Linked DNA regions of Drosophila melanogaster. The protein of the gene in region 1 interacts with the protein of each later gene in a pairwise test. Each region holds a gene or a part of one and is shown on either strand. Other genes may lie near its edges.

Evidence for each region.
Region 2: the proteins of Pfdn5 (region 1) and CG15676 interact in a two-hybrid assay, tested with the Drosophila melanogaster proteins (2 studies listed by BioGRID).

The regions. Positions count from the first base shown.
Region 1 is NT_033777.3:22,485,053-22,488,891, reverse strand, and holds Pfdn5 (prefoldin 5), read right to left. Parts: upstream 1,854-3,839; 5' UTR 1,599-1,853; coding exon 1,500-1,598; intron 1,383-1,499; coding exon 1,173-1,382; intron 1,112-1,172; coding exon 914-1,111; 3' UTR 811-913; downstream 1-810. Other genes in the region: CG5376 (uncharacterized protein), read left to right, coding at 10-207, 259-681, 742-810. UniProt on the Drosophila melanogaster protein: Binds specifically to cytosolic chaperonin (c-CPN) and transfers target proteins to it. Binds to nascent polypeptide chain and promotes folding in an environment in which there are many competing pathways for nonnative proteins.
Region 2 is NT_033778.4:21,669,542-21,673,345, forward strand, and holds CG15676 (uncharacterized protein), read left to right. Parts: upstream 1-2,158; 5' UTR 2,159-2,187; coding exon 2,188-2,736; 3' UTR 2,737-3,304; downstream 3,305-3,804. Other genes in the region: CG42381 (uncharacterized protein), read right to left, coding at 1-152, 214-277; NC2alpha (negative cofactor 2alpha), read left to right, coding at 706-747, 955-1,938.

The DNA of each region.
Region 1 (3,839 bases):
CTTCATAAAATGGCCGATCATAACGAAGATGAAGCTGTTGGCGGTGACCTAAACAACAATATAACAGCAAATGGGCAGGAGGAAGTGCGTCAGCCGGAGCAGCCGCAGAACGAACTGCTGGACATGGTTTTCACGTTGGAAAGCGAAAAACAGGCACTACTAGAGGAGTCTCGCAAACGGATCGGAGCGCTCCGCAAAGACTTTGAGGTTAGTTACTCGTCTCCACGGGCTGCACCCACTTACTGACCCTGATTGCAGGAAGCCAAGGCGGAAAATGAGCGTTTAAAGCGGAGAGTGGTCCAGTTGGAGCAGTCGCTCAAGCAGTCCGTCATGCTGGGCGGCACAGATGCTCCCAAATCACGACAAGAGCAGGAGGAGCTGCTTCTAAAGGCCAAAACCCTGCTGTTCGAGAAGACCAAGGTGAACAAACAGCAGGAGCAGCAGATATCAGTGCTTAGGACACAAGTAGACTCGATTAAGGATGTGCTGCAGGTGACCAAGGACATGTTGCAGCTAAAGACCGCCGAATGTGATCACACGCAGGCTCGTCTGGAGAAGAGCCAGCAGTGGATCAAGGCGGAGCAAGACAAGTGTGTGCTCACGGAGAAGAAACTAGCCATCTCCAAAGGAGTGTATGACAAGCTGCGTTCGGAGTACGACACCCAGTCACAGATATTCAAGGTGCCTTATAACTCGAGTCCAATGATATACTTGATATACTATTACCTTCTTTCCCTACAGGATCTTAAGTCCGCGTACGAGCAGAAGGTCAAGGTTCTCACCAAGGCTTTGGCAGAAGCCAAGAAATAGCTGAACAATTTAATAAACTACGTTAATTAAATGCACACATCTCGTTAATAAGTTTAATAATTTAATGCTTTCCGTGTCTCGTGTCTCTGTCGTTCTCCGTAGTCTAGGAGCTCTGGGTAACCGCCGGCTGCGATTGCTGCTGCGACTGCAATTTCGCTGCAGCAGCCTGCTTCATCTCCAGCACACTCATCACTGAGTTATAGAAGCGCGTCTTTTGCAGGTGGATCTTTTCGATTTTCTCGATCTGCTCCTGCACGTACTCCACGCGTCGCTTGAAGTAGTCTTTGGAGCCTTCCAGATCCTGTTTGAGAAACAGATGGCAATCAATAAATATTCTAGGTTCGATTGGAAATGTAAATCACCTTTTCAATGTAGTAGCCGGTGCCGATGTCTATGACGAACCTGTTGAGATCCTTGACCCGTCCTGGCACATACATACTGCTGGTCAGGGGCACCAGGATCTGACGGTTCTCCCAATTGGGTTGAAAGGTTCCCAGCGCCTCCTTGGATCCGGCGTACTTGGCTTGACAGCCGTGAAGCGTCGACAGCGAGTCCTGTACGTTGGTAATCTCCTAAGGATCACAAAAATGTACCGATTTTAGAAGCATGTGCCAATTGGGGCGCCCCTCCTCCAGAAACCCCCTCCGCGAGCACACTTGACTCATCACACACCCACATGCGGAACGCACCTGCTCGAACTCCTGCTTGATCTGAATCAGCTGTTCCGGACTCAACTTGGTCAGGTCGATCATCTCGGACTTGGCGGGTGCGCTTGGGGTGGCAGCCATTGCTAGTGCTTACACTTATAATTTACAATTCCACTTTTATTTTATTCAGTCGCCGTATAAGGTTGCCACCTTTGCGTATTCAACTCAACAGGGATGTCATGAAGCTGGGTCAGAAAATATCGATTTCACGGAAGCAATCGGGAATCGAATGATTCGTTGAAATAGTCGGTAGTCCAGTCCCGCCGACGATTTGTTATCGAGTACTAAGCGCGAAGTAAAAATTTAAAAAAAAAATCAGTGACTTCTGAATCTACAATATCTTTTGAGTTTAAAGACAGATCTTACTCAGCAAAAAAGCATTAACCAAACTTGTTTTTCAATTATAGTTTTATTGTATTTATTATATGCAATGTTATAATTCTGTGTTTTGTCAGTCATTCTGTATTTGTATGCGTTTTACAATTTTTGTTTTTGGTTTTCTCGTAAATTATAAAATCTAACACAAAACAAAGCAATTTCTTTAACAATCACTGCCGCTACATATACACGTTACAATTTGTTAAATATATATATATTTATATATATATAAGTAGGCACAGCTCAAGCGCCGCGCATCCAATACATGTTCATATACATATTCTCTGTTATATGTGGGGTGTTGTATGTCGGTTTTTATATATGTATAGATTAGATAACAATGATTTTAAGCCTAAGTAGAAGTAAGTTTTAGTTCCGATACTTGCGATCGTTCCCCTCTATATGCGCTCCCACTCGCAATCGCTGCTCCTCCGATCCTTGAACTATTAAGTTATATGCTTTAACTATGTTATTTTACCCATACAACTAACTGTACTCGTCCTTCGCGATCCTCCCACTATATCATACATACATAACATTTACCTTGATTTGGTTTTGATCTTAATAAAATGTAATTCGTTTTGAAACAATGAAGAAGATCTTGCTTTTGAGGGCGTGTCGATTCGATTTCTTAATCGCGGATATTTTAAGCTCCCCATCTGGATTTTGGATTCAATATCGTGTGCTCGCTGTTAAATCGCAAGGCAAATTTGTATAATTAGTTATATATAATTTGGTTTTCTCTTGAATCGAAACGAATAAACGTTAGTGGTTTACTTTAAATGCAGAGTTTTCATTGTGCAGCATTAACATTGTGAAGAGATAGAGAGAAAGTTGTCGGGAGAGAGTGTTACATTTATAAGTGGGAATGGTTTTGGTTATCAACAGCGTTAAAATTTGTGGTTTCTTTTCGTTTGGTTTCATTATCAAATCGAAGGGACGTAATTCGTAATAATAATCATTGATCGTTAAACATACTCGTACGTTATATGGTATGCATGTATGTATATTTTGTATAGATGTACATTTATAAATAGTATAGTTTGAATGTATGCGTGTATGTCCTGTATATATAGTTGTGTTTATGTACTGTACTGTACTGTATGTACTGTATGTACTGTGTTTCGCTATGTACTTGTAATTGTAATTGTCCTAGGTGTTCATTTCAGCTAGATTCGCTAGTTTGTCTCGTGTTTTCGCTTTCGCTTCCTTTTTGTATACAAGATAAGGGTTTAAAAAACTCGAAAATATATCAAAAGTTTCTTGAAATGCAGTATATATATGTTTTTTAGTTGTTAAATATATATATATATATTCATGTATATATAGTACTTTCCTAGGTATTTACAGCATACCTTGCCTTGGTTTCCATTAAGAATTCGAGAGAAGTATGTCCAGTAATTTCGCTAGTGATCGAATGCGTGAGTTGGTGATTGTGTGAGTGAGGTGAGTGTGCGTGTATTAGTAGTAGTATATCGAGTGTATATAGGTATTTTGTATATCTAATCCAAAATGATACACTAATTGGTATTGATAGTGAGACAAAAATTTTAATATAGCGCATCAAAATGATATATGCGATTATTAATATGTATACAGAATTTAATGGCGGCTTGCTGAATATCGAATTTCGCGTCTATGTATGTGTGCTTGTGTAATAGTATGTGGGTGTAAGCTGTGAGTGTGCTGGTGACTGCTGATTGTGTATACGTCACGTGGGCTTCGAAAAATACGCTTAAAGCTGCTATAATACTGTAAAATTGTTGCTTGATTTCCTCATTAGTCGACGGTAAAGTAATGTTCGCTCACATTGAATAGCAGTTGTTGTAGAAAAGCTAGGTAGGTTCGCTTCAGTGTCTTCGAATTTTGCGTGTGTGTTAGAGTGTTTCGTGTGTAAGTGTGCTAGTGTGTGTGTCTTGTCTTTTCCTTGATATGTCTGAGTTC
Region 2 (3,804 bases), on another chromosome or scaffold:
GCCGGTTGCGTTCTTTTCCTTGGATGCGTCTGGTAGATAAGTCTTCTCCAAATCGATTCCACTGCAGCAAAGCGATTCCTTGTGCCACTTTAAACAGCACTGGCGCATTGCCTCAAGGACATCCAAGCACTTGTCCTCCTGGTAGTGATTCTCTGTAACCGAGTGCAAGTCAGCTTACATAACCATGAAAATGGAGTCACCGGCGGTGCTTACTGGTCAGACAGGCTTGTATGCGGCAGGCGTTCGGTTTGCAGGGATCCTTGCGAGTGTCAGACATGTAATCCTGCCCAGAATTCTTACGATATTAAATCGCTCTTGCAATATGTGAAAAGTACTTGGAAGTGTTCTGCACTCTTCTTCTTCTTGGCGGTTGTAGTCATTCACAGTGCACGATCAAGGTAGCCAGACTGCGCGACGGTCAGCTGTGTAGGAAACCTAATACATCAAAGCAAAATAAAAAACAATCACATAAATAACAACAAAAAGAAATAACATCTCTTATAATGTACAAAAATTTTTAATCTTTCAAATTTTGATATTAATACCTTTTGCTTCCCTGTGAATACCCCGCCTGCTGCGAGAGCAACTGCCATTCACCCATCGACGCCGACAGTTGGGCACCAAGGAACTGTTCTTGTGTGAAAAACACACACACATTTGTTTTATTTCACTAGGACTCTTGACGATTACTTCACAAATCGGAAAATGCCATCGAAAAAGAAAAAATACAACGCACGCTTTCCGGCGGTAAGTTGAAACCACCGATTGGCGACAGGAAAGCTCCAGCCATTTGGCGGCCGTGAACGCCGAAGATGGGTTATCAGTTTTCGTGCATGTGTACATACATATGTACATACACGCCTCGCATAATCAGAGGCTCAAAAGAAGTAGAGGAGAAACCAAACCGGTGCGAGATTATAATGTTTCCAAACCATTACCATAAACTCCTTGCAGGGTCGCATCAAGAAGATCATGCAAAGCGACGAGGAAATCGGGAAGGTGGCCCAGGCGGTGCCTGTTATCATCTCACGCACGCTGGAGCTCTTCGTGGAGTCGCTGCTGACCAAGACGCTGCGCATCACGAATGCGCGCAACGCCAAGACGCTATCGCCATCGCACATGAGGCAGTGTATCGTATCCGAGAAACGCTTTGACTTCCTCAAGGAGCTGGTCCGCAACATACCCGACATCAGTGTGGCCGAGGAGGCCGCCTACAACGAGGACGATGTGTTACGCAGCTCGCCAGAGGAACAGTATCCAGATTCAGACACGCCATATGATCTTAGCCTGCCATCGACGTCAATGCGCTCGCAGGCGAACGGCACAGCTGCCTACATGCGCTCCATGAGTCTGAACAACGGAGCCGGATCGGGCGGAGGAGCCGCAGCCACCAAGCGGCAGTTTCAGTCGCAGCACTCCACCCAGGAAACTCCCACCACCAGCACCACCCTGCCCGCCAAGCTGGCCCGCTCCGGGTCCATGCCGGCCTACACGCCACGGGGCAGACCGCCCAATCACCTCAAGAAACAGTCGGTGCAGCTCGATACTGCCATACCCGCCCCGATCTGCAACTACGAACTCAACAAGCCCATTGTCAAGATCGACTACAGCCACGTGCAAATGCCGACGGCGAACCTGTGCACACCGGACGCCTCTGATTCTGGGTCAGGATCGGGCGCCGGATCTGGAGCTTTTAACTTCGACATAGCTGCTCCGGTGATCAATATCGATCTGACGAATATCGTGGCCGGTGGAGCACCTGGCAGTGGTGTGCCCCCCGCCTCTATTGGATTACCAGCGGCCACGCCGGGGGACAACAATAATGTGAACCAAATGGCTGGAAAGAGCAGCGCTCCCATCATTCCAAAGGCCACAGCGGCATCAGCGACCCCCACTGAAACCGTTTTCGAATTAGACGAAGACTATGACAATATTTGATTAGGATCTATGTGAATGCGCTTTTAAATTATTGATACATTAATATGTACTCTAGGTCTAAGAAATCACAATAACATTTTTTGCAAAATAAAGACCATGCTGGATTTTAAGCTGACGCAATGCGGAGTACTTTAAATAGAGAAAGAAAATTTATACATTCTAGCAGATAATGCTGTTTAATTTGCATACGATATTAAATCAGTTTATCTTTGAATTAGATGTACTAAACAAGTTCAACAATTATTGAAAATGTTTGCATTCATAGACACCATAAAAAAGCCGCCTCTGGGCGGCCGAAAGTCATTTATGCCCATCCCAGAGGCCAAGTTAGTTGACGATGTCGTCAGCTACATCGCCAAGCCAGAGTTCTATTCGACTGTTCCAGCGGCATTGAAGATGCAACGCCTTTTCTATGTGCAATACAGCGAACTGGCTGCCAAGTTGGAGACTGACCTCACAGCAGTGTTAACCCGTTTGGAGGCTGCCAAAAATAATTTGGAATTGGTGAGGAGGTTCATAGACAATCCTGACAAGGAAGTTCACAGCCTCGTGCAAATCGCACAGGGAGTATTCAGATGGGTGAGCATACCGCCAGTGCAAAAGGTTACCCTTCAAGTGGGCGCATCTCTGCAAATGGAATTCGAGCTGTCCGAGGCGGAGGAGTTCATCAAAAAGGACATCACCAGCCTGGTGAAGCAGCAATTGCAACATGAGCACGATATCGACTATCTGCAGGATCAGGTGAACACGATTGAGATGAACCTAGCCGTATTGTATAAACATGAAGTGGAGAACTAGAAGCATCCCACCATCCTTAAAATTGCTAGTACCTTGTAGTTGCTTATAAAGACATTCGTTCTAAATAAGTCTTTATTGTCTAAATGCCTTAATTTCCAACGAAGTACAGCTCTCCCTTGGAGTTCCCCACTAATTCATTCATTACAATTACATTATTAGCAGCCCGGTAAAGAGGTCAGAGTATCGGGACCGTAGGATCCCAGACTGTGCCCTACAAAATGTGACCTTTATTACCGAGCTCGGCTATTTACAAGCCTATACACATCATAATAATTATGACTTAATTTCGCCAGGGAGCACCGCTTAGTCATTGTGTAATCCTCGGTCACAGCCAATTACAATTGAATGCCTTTCAATCCCATGCCCATGCCTTCGTCCAGCTGTTACTCCAGCCCTCCGCATATTCGCACACGCAATCTGCCAGCCACAATTGATATTAATTTGTGCCCGATGTGGGTCAACCCATGATGTAGACTCCATTCCCTTCCAAGGATACCAAATTATATGGCAAAAGGACAAAACTGACCAGCAGATGAGCCACATATCGCGTGGGAAAATCTTATTGCAAGCGAATAAAATTACCCAACCGCTCCCAGTGAGCAAAGGTGCAGTTTTGAATTATATGAATTTTCATCCATGGGCTTGGCACACTAGATTAGGGTCAGCACTATTCCCGAATTTTGATTAGCCAAGCCCAAAGTCGAGATTAGATTGCTGCGCTCTCTCAACCAGATCAAGTGAATCCGCCAAAGAGTTTGGGCTCGGCTAATCGAAGCCCCTTCAATTGGGGGAATCAGATCTGCATCTGCACACCTGCACTCGTGGACTCCACGCTGTCCACCTGTCTTGAGTCATGGCGCAAAAAAAAAAGAGGTTAGAAACAATAAAAACAACTTGCGGCGCGCCGCCAGTGCCAAGTTTTCATGTCCAAGGCGTATTTATGTCAACCGGAAGTAGGTTTACTGACCCACGTATACCCGTGTGGCTGGCCAAACGTGGACTTCGGCTTTCTTCGGTGGTTTCTTCACCTAAACCCGACTGGTCAGTTGCCGTGGAGCTCCACGGCGC